Neodiprion lecontei: one gene and its partner. The protein of the gene in region 1 interacts with the protein of each later gene in a pairwise test. Links are inferred from orthologs where the notes say so. Each region holds a gene or a part of one and is shown on either strand. Other genes may lie near its edges.

What was found.
Region 2: the proteins of akirin-2 (region 1) and brahma-associated protein of 60 kDa interact in binary tests that used the Drosophila melanogaster proteins (3 or more experiments, as listed by UniProt). The link is inferred for Neodiprion lecontei from reciprocal best matches to the Drosophila melanogaster genes akirin and Bap60.

What each region holds. Positions count from the first base shown.
Region 1 is NC_060263.1:15,142,510-15,149,273, forward strand, and holds akirin-2, read right to left. Parts: upstream 5,175-6,764; 5' UTR 4,924-5,174; coding exon 4,755-4,923; intron 3,865-4,754; coding exon 3,671-3,864; intron 3,576-3,670; coding exon 3,413-3,575; intron 3,309-3,412; coding exon 3,298-3,308; 3' UTR 3,252-3,297; intron 3,126-3,251; 3' UTR 511-3,125; downstream 1-510. UniProt on the Drosophila melanogaster protein: Molecular adapter that acts as a bridge between a variety of multiprotein complexes, and which is required for embryonic development and for normal innate immune response.
Region 2 is NC_060261.1:37,097,568-37,104,575, reverse strand, and holds brahma-associated protein of 60 kDa, read right to left. Parts: upstream 5,252-7,008; 5' UTR 5,230-5,251; intron 5,191-5,229; exon of another isoform or gene 5,169-5,190; intron 5,094-5,168; exon of another isoform or gene 4,860-5,093; intron 4,325-4,859; 5' UTR 4,309-4,324; coding exon 4,186-4,308; intron 3,933-4,185; coding exon 3,757-3,932; intron 3,533-3,756; coding exon 3,500-3,532; intron 3,389-3,499; coding exon 3,043-3,388; intron 2,973-3,042; coding exon 2,775-2,972; intron 2,137-2,774; coding exon 1,878-2,136; intron 1,679-1,877; coding exon 1,272-1,678; 3' UTR 513-1,271; downstream 1-512. UniProt on the Drosophila melanogaster protein: Involved in the recruitment and site-specific anchoring of the Brahma complex at specific promoter sites.

The sequences.
Region 1 (6,764 bases):
CGATAGTGTCGGACTGTAAAGAATCTGTGTAACCGAGCGTTGTTTCCCGCCCAGAAGTGACGGAGGCCTTCTGACGTACATCTACTCTTATAGATCTAATGGGGCTTCTTACTACGAAGCCATATCCAGACTAATGCGATTATACTATTGAATAAGTCTCTTAACAGGATCGGAATATAGGAATTTCAAGAAATTGGCTCGCTTTGTGACGTCTTCCATCCCATTCTATGACAATTTCTTTCTCCATTCTTCAGAGTCTGCGACAACAGTATCTTAGAATAGTTAAAGTACTCTTCAGTGAACTAAGAACTAGAGCTACTTTCATTAAGATCATACTTCAGTATTTCAAGCCGTGTTTAGAGGGGTGAAACGATTCGAAATCGAATTTCTATTGATAATTAGATCTACATTGATTATTTGCGTTGGAACGTTTTACAAGAGCGGGCTAAAATTTTTATACAAATAGAAGCATAGCAAAAGTGGATGTGGAATTATTTATAGATAGTCAGATAAAGATCAGTCTTAAGGTTTATATTTATTTCATTAATAAGTGTTTACATAATATTAATATGGAGGTATTTTTAATCATTGAAATCAAATCTTCCCTGATTTCTCCCAAGGAATTTACCTTAGCTGTTTTCTTCATCGTTGCTTCTTAATATAATCATTATTAATCATTAGTATTAGGTATTATTCATTATTCAATATACTAACTAAATTTATTTGTATTTCTTTTTGTTTTTTTTTTTCGTTTTGTTTTTCCCTTCCATATTTATACATCATTCATAATTTTTTTTCTCTTCACAATATTGTAACTTATTCTTCCTTGTCATCAGGATACATTTATGCTGCTTGACGAAATACTACGTACAATTTCCATTTTTTTATTTATTTACGTTTCTTAATATTAAAATTATTATAACGTACAGTTCGCGCAATAACTTTTGTTGATTTCAAGACTTACACAATCATTAATTTACATTTATTACCTAAGGTTTTACAATAGCTATGACAGTTTATCTGGTTTTCAGCATAGTCTTGCAGGAGTAATAAGATAATTGTACAAGTATTTAATCCCTTGTTGTACTACGATAAATACGAGTCGTTTTTCAAAGGATCGCAGTGTTTCTCGTTCCACAAGTTTTTCTTAGCTCAACAAAAGTTACTATGCTATCACTTGAACTAAATACAGTAATAAGATCAGAAGATGTGGCATTCTTGCCTGGTATTGAATAACAAGGTCGTCACTACGCCCCAAAATTCAAATATTATTGGCGAATTGTATTTAACTACTTTTTGTTCTCCAGTCAACTAGTTTCAAGTATCTGTTGATCGAACGAATAAAACTTAACGAATTTCAATTTGGCAAATAACGAAGCACGGCTCCTTAAATTTTCATTCAACAAAAAAAAAATAACTGTTTTCATAAACTCCTCATACTCTTTTGCTAAGTCTCTTCCTTGATACTTAGAATTCATCTTTCGTTCAATTGTTGAACGGCGTGAATAGCAGAGAAATATATATGGTAACCAAGACGAACTATCATTATCGGATTCATCTTGAGACAATTATGCGCCTAATTTATACCTATATATATGAATAGTATGTATACGTAAAAAAGAAAAAAAACGAACATCGCATATGTAGAATCATTATCAACTAAAAATAATTTTTTTTTCCAATATTATTTTTCTTTTTTTTTTAATTACGATGAATAGTAATAAGTAATAATTATAGCAGTGTTGGGTAATTGTAATAAATATGTCTAATAATAGGCACAGTAAATGTATGGGTAATAGTATGTATATTCATTATTCTGCATTTAATTTCATTATGCTATGGCAAGTTGCTGTTGTCAGGGAAAAAATTATAACAACAACAATAATAGTAGTAATAATAATAATAATAATAATAATGACAATAATGTGAAAACAGTATCAGTTCTTTTTGAATTTTCGCCCTAGCATGGTGCACAGTTCTTTTTATAAATTTTCTACTTCTTCAAACGCGTATAATTTAAGAATACACTTATAAATGCTACATTTCAATAAGAAGGAAAAATCAAAGAGAAAAAATAAAGCAAGGATGAAAAATTTATCTACCAGCAGAAAACTTTTGTTTAAAGAGGGAAAGGTCAAGATGACAAATTAAAAGCTCTAATAAAAGTATGAATGCAATACCCCGAAATAAGGGAATATATTCGTTAAAAAATACATTCTTTATAATTTTGAGATTGACCTAATAACATAGCATTACAAAAACGTATATACCTATATATCACCATCCAAATATGCAGATTTTACTTGTTATTATAATTGCGAGAGTAGAGAAATAAAAATATTAGAAAATGATTATAACATAATCAATTGTTGCAAGAGAAATTTCATCGGGACTGACGAAATCAATAAATCACGTTACACCTTAGATTTCACATCATTGATCGATATTCAAAGTAACTCTGACCACCACCAATCTTATTCCGTACGTTACTAATTGTTGTGGATCAGTTGGGAGAAATTGATGTTACAATCGATCGTATGTAATCAGATCCTTATCGAGAGGCTTTACAGTTGATTTGCAAAAATTGGTTTCAGGAAATTCGAAGAGTAGGAAATTCACACCACCACGGTGTATGTAGTATCAATACCAGATCACATGTATGCAATTTATTTACAAATACTTTTATACTTGTGCTACTTTAGCTTTGTAAATTTTCTATTTGATTCCCTGATAACAGCGTACTTTGAAAACCGGATGGTACAAATATGGTTAATTTAGTAGTATACGTTGTCGATTTTTTTTAGTCTGGTCGCTCTCCGCAAGTGAGCCTACTTCTATAACTTACTTTCCTATATACGCATATATATACATATATGTCAGGGTACACACACACATATATATATATATACGCACACCTCATTACCTTTTTTGAAATGTTTTTATTTATTGATATTTTTGTTAAATTATTTAATTATGTTTTTTGTTGCATCTGTTTATTTTATACTTCGAATGAAATTACTTTTCAAATTTAATCAACCCATGTCTCCACAGCGAGGTAACATCACCGCGCATTTCTTCCCTCATAACTCCAAGCAAAATTATTTTCTCACTTATATCATAGAAATCTGTAATGAGAAAACCACTAGAGTATCTTTTGACAATAACAATTGAATCATTCGCCGCATTACCTAGACGATTATCATGTAAAGTCACGATTCAACTTTACAGAATATACATGCTAGGATACTTACCTAACGTTCTTTGAAGAAACACATCCGTGGAAGTGGCAAATCTCCTTTAGGACAAATCTACAAATTTATCAAACATTAGAAAAAACACAATGCATGTGAGTCACCAGTCTTGAAATCAGGAGTTTACAAGTTTACAAGTTTCCAAGTATTCAATAACTCACAACTCGGTGCAGCCGCAGATTCAAATCTCTTCTGAATCTGATCATAGGTGAACTTAACGAATGCGTCATACTGCTCGGAGAGCTTCATGTTGAGAATCTGGTCATATTCTTCTCGGATCTGCGTCTCCTGTTCCTTCAGCATCCGCTCGCAGATCAATCCCACCTAAACACAAGTTGGTTAACCATTATTTGTAGCAAATAAACGATCTCACAATTATGTCGATATCCATTCATTCTTTATTTTGAAAATACACCCACCTGTCTAAATGTGAACAGTGGTTTTTCTTTGCCGCTTGGGCTATGACTGTAAGCACTAGGCCCACTAGTCGATGGACTGGCTGGACCTTCAGTATCTGAAGAATCTCCACCATTGTTGTTTTGCGGGTTGAAATGCAGCTGCTTGCGCCGGTGAAGCCTGCGGATCTCTTCTCTAATATTGGCAGCCATTTTTTCTATGAAAACATTTTACGGCATTGGTGTAAACAATTCAGATACCTGACCTCAGTTTCTTAGACTGAATAACCAAGCCTGACGGATCGCAATCACAATTGCAACCAGGCATTGTTTTGATTGATGATGTTCAAATAACGGATTGTGAAATTACTTGAAAATAATAAATAAGAAAACCGAAACAATATTAGGTCTTTGCAACATCATTTCCAAGTTATTGGTAATGGCTGAAAGAGGTTAGTAAGAAGGCTTAGTTCTCATGTAAATGTACAAGTTGAGTAACAAACTCCATGCATTCATTCAAAATTTTCACAGTTATGCAAATAGTAAAGTTGCAATAGTCTGCCTTTACGGTGGTCGAATTTTGATGGGTATTTTCAATAGATTCGTGGTAACGCATCAGACTGAGCATGGAAATGCTAATATTATGTCTGATGAATACGTAAATGAAGATTACAAACATACGATTCGGCTTGGTCCTTTTTCTCCCGTTTCGAACTTCGACATTATTGAATGAAATAATGCCTGGGTACGCAAAACTCACACAATGGGGAATTTTTTTTTAGTGACATAGAAGCGCGTTTGAACACCGAGGTGATGAGGGGAATTGTCGAATGAGAAAAAACTTTGTGAAGAAAAACGGTCATTCTAACGTATATTTCAAATTGCGCGATGAGTGGAGGAAAACCAGTTTGAAAGCTGTTTGTAAAAATAGTGAAAATCAGCAGCGACCGTTACGTCGGTATCTCCATATGATTTGCGCTCCCCTCACCCCACTTCACGCCTCCGGCCATAGTATATACGGGTTTTAAATCGCTATACATCTACGTTTGCAGCTAGCTTCCCCCTTTAACACCCCGTGATAAAAAAAAAAATGGCCGAATATAATTACCAGGCGTCAATTTTTGTGTAACTTCGCCGAAAGCTGATGGGTTCTGATTCCTCGCCGGCGGTGTGTTTGGCGACATGCACATCGGTACGCATCTTCGCCTCTTCGAAGGCCTTACGTGGCTGTGAACGGGGTCGAACTCGAGTGATCGCTTCAGGGTGGCGCAGGCCATTTTTACTCTTCACAGTCTCGTACGCGACTGACACCAAAAAATCGCCGAGGAACCGCAAAAGGCGTTTTATTTCCCGAAAATATATCGGTACTACAAATTGCACAGTATTCCCTTTTCGTTTAGCGGTCTCGTCGAAGACTTTCGACAAGTTTCCAGGCTGATTCAACTGGATTTTAAGACTGGCCACCGCAGCACCAAAACAAACACTGCAGTAAAACAATATGGCCTCCTCCGTCGTCACTTCGTCAGCCGCAGCGACTTGAACATTTTCCATAACGTTTACCTAGCCTAGTCTGCCATTGGTCATCTCTCCGCGTTTTCTCATTGGTCGAGCCGTTGCATCGTGCGTCACGACGCAGCTGCATCGATAAGGAAGGGCAGGGGTGGCCGATCGAAACGGTTCATTCGATATTCAGCCTACGGCAGCGCCGGCAATAGTCACGTGGTATGCAGATGCAGCTGTCAGCTGTCGCACGTGACTGACGCAAATTGCACGCACGCGTTAAAGATGCACGGAATGGCAAAAAATCATATCTCGACCAACTGACTGCAGAGAATGATGCTTGCAAATGCAAAGAATAGATTTCGAAACTGGGCAGAGTTAAAAATGAAAATAGAACGCTGAAAAAATGCGCGATAAATTGACATCCGCTCAAGGATAATTTGAATTTTCATCGATTTGCAAAACAAACTTCTTCGAATCTTTTAGGATTTGCAGGATCGATTTTGAAACGATAATCTGAATTTTTCGAATGTGCTGCACAATTTACTTGTGTGAAAACACTGTTTGAAGAACTAAAAAACTTGCCTCGACCGTAACAGGACTCGAACCTGCAATCTTCGGATCCGAAGTCCGACGCCTTATCCATTAGGCCATACGGTCTGTTGATAGTCTAGGCCGTAGAATTGTACGTATCTTCATGATAAAAATTTCTTTAACAACCTTGTGCAAATTCAGCCCTACAGGAACAAAATCAATATAAGTTTCCGTACGACATATTTAAAATATAAAATGATTTGCATGTGATAAATTTGAAGATCATTTATTGTTTTACAAAGGCCTGTGAGGAACTGTATTGTTACAAAAAATCATTTCAATCTTTAATTTAAGGTCCTGTGACAGCCTACCCTTACCGACCAAGCAAACTCATCCCTTTTTTTCCAATATTAAATCAACAAATGAACGGAAAGGCTTGAAGTTTCGACGATGCATCGCTCTTTCATGGCGGAATTCAAAAATGTTACTCATATCTTGAAAAGCATTAAATAGATGAGTGGTTTTTTGAAACACGTTACTATTTAAACAGTTCCCGCATTTCAAGGGCCAATAAGTGCACAGTTGAGATACCTTCCGCAATTCTAGAAAGGATGAGGACTAAAATAAGCCATCGTGAGACTGTTTTCATGTAATATTGAAGTCGCTATACGAAAACTAGGGATACAAATAATTTCGTAAATAAAAAATGCTCTAGCGATCAGCTGGGCGCGAAGTTCCTTGGTTGGTATGGTCGCCCCAGCACAGCATGAGAGCGTCTTTTATCTACAAAATTACCGTAAATCCTAGTTTTCGTTGAGCGGCCTTAATATTGCATGAAAGCAGTCTTGCGATGTCTCATTTTATTTCTCATTCTTGCCGGAATTGCGGAAAGTATCTCAACCATGCACTTTTTGGCCCCTGAGATGCGAGAAATGTTGAAATAGTAAAATGTTTAAAAAAATCACGTTTTTGATGATTTTTGGAATACGAGTAACATTCCTGAATTCCGCTACGAAAGAATGATGCACCGTCGAGACTTGAACCCCTTCTGTTTATTTAATATACGAAGAAAAGGTATGAGTTT
Region 2 (7,008 bases), on another chromosome or scaffold:
AAATACCTAATTTTGAGAAACGTATAGTCTATAGGAAGAAAATCCGAATTTGGAGCAGATTCTGGAATATCACACACTGTATGAAGGAATGCACACAAGATCTCCTAAAAGCACTTTGAGCGACAAAGGATTTGTCATCCTCACTTTACTGTGTATAGAGAATACCTTGAAACAGGCCTTCCAAGCTACAACAGGTCCTTCCATGCATCATGATAACCGCTGTAAATTGACCCCTGTGTGAGTGTGATTGGTCCACTTTGAGACATCCTTTCCGTACGAAAAAATTTCGTGGAAATCTGTAGATTATTCTGATACTCTACATTAAACCTGTAAAACTATTTACTATACAAATATGACAAATAATTAATGTTTGAAACACCAAACAGAATTCGCTCGCTTTATTACAACTTTTTCATCCAATAATTACAGAGTACTACGAACTTCAGCAGCATCAGATATAAGAACTAAAAAATGAGTTCATGTTGTCAAGAGGACGATATCAAACACAAAAATTTATCGGCTGTATCTCAATATTATTTATTTGCTATAATGTGTATAATCATGACTTATTTTTTGTATACCCGGTGAAAGAGTCACATACTTTACTTCAATTAATATTGTGAATGTACCACAAAGGTATGGGTTTCAATAATGTGACTGTATTGATGATGAATCTAGTGACATTGAATGCACGGAGGCAAATTGAAATTAGCAAAAATATTAAATGTTATAAATACTGTTAAATGTTCACGATACATTTCTGAAAGATTATTAAATATGATTAAAAAGTTGCATCAGCAGACCTCGTTGACGTATTTCTTAATTTGAATAGCATCAATAATCAGAAATTTGTGGTAATACGCAGTATAATCCACAGTTAAAAGTTCGACTTTATCTATGGTATGGTTTTTATTACATTTATAAAGTGTAATACAATTTTTATATAATCGTATTACTGCTTTTTACCTTCCTGACTTGTACTTGAGGCAATAGTCATATTCACCTGACGTAGTATAATAAATTGGTAATGCCGTGCCAATAAAAGTTATATTTGGGTAATTTTGGCTATAATTCATTCGATTTGAATTTAATTGTTATAATCATGTAAAAAAATTCACAGAACTCTTTTAATCATTTGGATCGTTCGCCTTAATTATGCATGAGCACATAAAAAATTATCATATTAAACCGTGTCCTTCAGGAAAGTGTACTGGTTGGCAATTGCATGCCTAACTGACGATACCGTTGGCAATTATGGGATAGTTTGAGGTTTATGAATTGCGAATTCCAAGAGCTTGTTCTAACTCTGCACGCTTTTGTTGAACTTTAGTGTAAAAGTATCGACATACTGCTTCTTGGGCCCAAGGCTGATAGTAGAAATCAGCTCTACGCTCTTCCTCGGGGTTGCCAACAACATCTGTCATTGTCTTCAAGTCTCTAGTCTGTGATATAATCCACTTGTTGATAAACTGCTGAGGGTCCTTTGCGAAGCTCAAAAAGAACTCACGATTTGTTTTCAACTGGTTTATAGTTTCCACTGTCTCGTGAATTTTATTATCAAGGCTTTGAATTTCTTGCTGACTTGCAGTCGACAACAAGAAATTGTTCATCTGGGTCTTGAGCGTATCATCTACTTCAACGTCGATATCATAACACGCGGTTTGCTTTGTCTCTGTACCTAAATGAAAATGTTTTAATGGCAATGGAGCAAGAATTAGTATTATACCTGGATTCATATTCTTCAAATCGAGGAACAACCACATTTGAAATCAATTGAAAAGTTTGACAGATTAAAAGCTGATGTACTCCATACAACAATTTTGTCAATCAAACTGTATTCATTTACGAAGATGCTCAATGATTATTATTGTACGTACCTTCTACACTAATGACATGATTAATAACAATTGGATCTGGCGGATGAAGTAATGGGTTCAAGCGTTGAGGTATTTCAGCAAATTTCATTCTAGGACAAGCAAATATTTGCTCCAGATATTTGTCGCAGTTTATAAATTCACGTTCATGTCCGTCTTGAAGTTTGTGTGTTTTTATATACTGCCAGAGAGCGGAGATGATGACTGGTCGAGTTTGTGTATGAACACCAAGTAGGCGAGCTAAGCGAGGGTCGAGCTTGAACTGCAAAATTGGCAATAAGTCAATTGAACCCCTGCATGCAACAAGAACTTGACTCGAGTTAAGTTTTGGACAATGAAATATGAATAAAGTATTTGTTAACTGATGTACAGGTGTTTTAATAAAAAAAATCAATCGTTTTTTGTTTTGACGAAATTGTCCTAACCTTTGATATCACTACACACCCATAAGATCATAATTTTCAATATTTCATTGTCCAAATCTTAACTCGAGTTAAGTTGCTGTTGCACGTAGGGTCTCAATTATTACACATAATTAGATGTTTACATACATAGGGTGACGACAACTTTGCTCGACTAAAATTCCCTGACCTTTTTTCATGAAGCTCAGGTAATGTTGGGTGGTTTTTATGACTAAAAGCTATGTACACGCGCGTGTGTATGTGTGTGTGTAAAAACTGCACAGTAACATTTCCAAAAGCGAGCTTAACTTAATTTACCAAGCCTAGTTGAAGTTTGAAAACAATTTATCAAAAAAGTACAGTTTCTTTCCTGTAGACCATCATAATTCCCTGACTTTTCCCGATAGACGGAACTCCCCGACTATTTCTGGTTTTCTCGGATTACTCGGTCAGTCGCCACCTTGATACAATTTGAATATGTTTTAATGATAAAATGTACCTGCAGTGGTTGATAATCAAGCAGCAACAAAATTGTACATCTAACATTCTTATCACCAGGTCTTTTAACTTGAAAACCATCAGTCTCTTGAGTTGTCAGCGTACGATGCCATTCAACCAGATGATTATCTGGCCCATACAAGTCTTTGTCTAGCTCTATTACCAAGCTTTTAAAGAAGGATGAAAATTTTCTCTTGACCTATGAAACAACCCAAAACATGTATGCCGCTTTTCCCAGTATAATACGAAAATGTTGGGCTCATTGATACCTTGTTGGGGTCATTTTTTGTATCATCGAGAAGTCTTCCTTCTACCCGAAGTTCCCACGAAGCAACAGAACCTTCTTCTCCTTCGCCAGCTTCTTTAGCTGGGTAGAAAGTATTAGATATAAAGATTCTCAACTTTCGTTTTTGTTTCATAGGACGTTTCAGGGCTTCTTGGATGTCCAAACGTTTGCGCATAATGGTAGCATCAAGTTTACGCTCAAAAGCAAGCAAATCCATGTACGCCTGTGACTCTGGTACAAGATCGCGTACTTTCTGAGGTAGAATTTTGTCTGCCAGTTTCTTCTTCTTCTTCGATGTGGAATGTGAGAAATCACTGTTCCAAAAATACCTAGTGAGTTTGCGTGAAAAATCATAGCTCAAAAATCAAAATTAATTTTGAAAAGATTTTTGTAAAAATTAGTTATGACGATGGCTGCATCGCCTGGTAAAAACTTTGTACCTTAGTTTGAGCTCTAATCCAGAACAGTGAGGGCTTGTACCATGAAAAACGTACAAAAAAACACAGTAACGAAAAAGACTTAGCAAAGAATTTCAGTACCATAAGCATCATATAACTTTATAAATTGACAAATTGAACATTCACTTGCTTTATAATGTTACAAGCATACAAAGAAATGTTGTAAATTACATGGTATGTTCAAAAAATGAGCAATAATAATCATTACATCTAAGATTATAGAAATAAAATGGACTCACGGTTTTTGCTGAGATATTGGTATCCGTTGCTCAGTAGATCTTTTGCTTCCTGGAGGTGTGGGCATAGGTCCTTGGCGCATATTAGTGTATGGCTGGTTTGGCCTCATCATTCCTCCAGGTCCTGGGCCTCCACTGCCCATTTGTGGAGGTGGGGTAAAACCTGACCTTTGCTGCATCTGCGTAAAGAGACATTCACCCAAAGAACAGTAGACAATTTGGATACAAAGGAGTTTTTTCAAATTTAAAAATGTTACAAATAGAGAAAACCTCAGCCGTCATATTCTAATAATAATTGCCACGAAAAATCATTTTTTTTTTCAATTAAAGTATTGGATCATAATAACTCGAGTGAATTTAAAGTTGCTCGCTGTAGTTTGAGAAAGAGAGAGAGACTTAGTAGTTAGTAAATAATAAAGAATCAAAATTAACCTTGCCTACCGGGAAGTTGGGGCCAGAATATTGTCTCAGATTTGGTGGTACGGAAGGAGGAGGGTATCGCTGTGATGGTGGGCCATTATTTCCTGTATTTGGCACAGGAAAACGCTGTGCCATTTTGAAAGCGAGCTATCTGAATATGAGTAAAATCAAAATTAAGTTCAATAGTATAGAATTACCCTAAATACACGTCATACAGTTAAATACTAGACGTTGCGCTTGAAAAAAGCCTGTACATTAAGAGAAACAAGGAAATCTAATCGAGTGATGGATGATAATTAAAAAAACCTTTACACAAGATATTCTCTTTCATTTAAATGCATAACTCTTGAAAACTGAGTGATGATTGGCAGAAGCCACGAGATGCTATTTTTCACCAAGCCTGCTCGGGCTGCGCTGAGTAAGAGCACAAATGACGCGATAAGTTTTCAATACCAATATGATGTAGTAAATTTAAGCACAGTTTAATTACAGAACACAGGTTGGATATTTATGATGGAAGACCTAAGTGGGGGGTGAGATAATTAACTCAAAATATTCCACGTGAAATTTTAAAATAATTGAGTTAATAAAGAGCAAGAATATCTGATTTGGGATGTTTTCAGTTGACACTGGAAAGCCGTAGGAGAAAAAAAGATATCTCAGTATTTTCAATAGTTATTAGTTACATTAGACGGTATTTTTTCACTGGATAACATAGCAGTAGTTAGAGTATATTGAAAACCGATAAAAATCTACGTGAAAATCAAAATAGGCAGAAAATAACCTTCACTTCTCAACTTGAGACGCACTAGCAGGAAATAAATTGGGGGGACTTTGTTTGCGGTACAAATGTTCAAACTGCGAAAACCAGAGTGCGCTTTGATTCGTCACTAGACAGTAGACTTTCCCATTTTTAGAATAGTCTTGGAATCAAGAGAATCGAGAGATGCGTGTTCGCGTTTCTCGTGCCCACGGCGTCGCTAACTGAAGACTACCTTTTATGAAAGGGGATGGGACTGTTATCTTCCGTGTTGACCGTGTTGACTAAAGACTTACAGCATTGACGTAGCATTGACATGGCATTGACTTAGGCCCGATCTCTCCCACGTTAATCGAAGTTTAAACTAAGTTCAGCCTATCCCCAACTATATACAAAAAAATGAACGCTGTTTAAACTGTTTCGAAGGAAACGGGCGTTGTGGGATTGCGTATGCCACCCGCCGATAAAGAAGCTTTCAGATCGCTAAGATGGCTCCTCACCCACTTACCTTTTGAATACTAATAACGAAAATTTAATGTGACAACATTTGAAAACTTGCTTAACACTGTCATCACACATCTGAAAATAGACAAATTATAATCTGCGAAAATAACAGACTACAATAATCTGAAATAATTGAAGTTTATACGACTTTTTTGAAGTTTTCATAGTCTCCCATTTTTTTTTTGTATTGTATTTCCGAAGTCGGAAATATTGATTGAAAATGTCTTAGATGGGGGTCTAATTTATTAAATTTGTACGTTTGGCAAATAAGTGTATCAGCTAATCTAAAAATTTGTAAAACTACAACGAAATGGAAACAAATTTTTGGAATAGTGTATGAATTATGTGTTCCACACAATCGCAAGCAGTAGAGCATTCGGTGCTTTTTTTAATGCGGTATGTTCAGCAGACCTATTACATGGTGAACAATAATACGTAATTTTTTGAATAATTTTTTCATACGTCACACGATTAATTGTTTTTATTAAGTACATTATTGTCGTGCAGACGTCGATTGTTGATCGTTTCTTAATTCATATTGTTCGTTGAATTTTTATTATAGATGAAATGGATTGCTTTGCATTGTTTATAATCGTCGATATGTGTTTAATATCGCCGCGACGAGCGAAGATTGTTCGTTGATTGTACTTAAAAAGTCTAGATTTTCATTCGTTGCTTTATAAACTCACGTATAAGGTTCTGATATGAATTTTCACATGAATTCTACATGAGAATTGTCAATAGAGCGTGAGATGCATTCGTCAAAGTGGCAAATATAACGGTTAATTAGAGTTACGTACGAAATTCAACTTCAATATATTTGCAGAGTGTTTTATTTTCAATAACTCGTTTATTGGTTAAGTCATACTTTTGTATCAAGCAGGCGATAGGGAGTCGCGACCGCTTAGGCAATGCAATGGGCAGAGCCCTGTATGTTTTTACCACGTTTTTACTAAGTCACGGGACCGTGGTTAAACCTGAACTGGTTTTACTACCTTTGATCCTCCGTAGATTTATCCAGTTTACATGACTGTGGACAAAACGGACCCTACTGGGAATACACTGTCTACCATGTTCAAGTTGGTATTCGAACAATCTTTGTGTCAACATGTCAGGGAACATCACCTTACTTCGTGTCGGTAAGTTTTCGAGAATATCGATCATATTCACGTTGCAAAGTGTGTTGTCATCTAGCTGGACTGTATTGAACAGCTGACTGTCGGCTTTGAGACAAGATCGCAGTCGCGCGCCGAAGCGTTGATACGTTTGTCGAAAGATGCGATATCATGTTTAATACTTCGGCTGATTCATTAATTCGGAAAAGAATTAAAGCGCACGGATGTTCGGAAAAATTAAGTCGTGCCTTCTCGGGCTCTTCACGACTCGTGACATGTGTATAATACTGACTGCAGGTTCATTCGTGGGCTTACTATTAGTGTCTGTAACATTTATTCGTGAAACATAAACACGGCGGTAAGCTGAGTTGACCGTGGGTTGAGTCATGTAAATACGAATCTTCTACATCACTTCAAAGGTATTCCGTAATCAATAAAGTTTTACCGCTCAGTAAT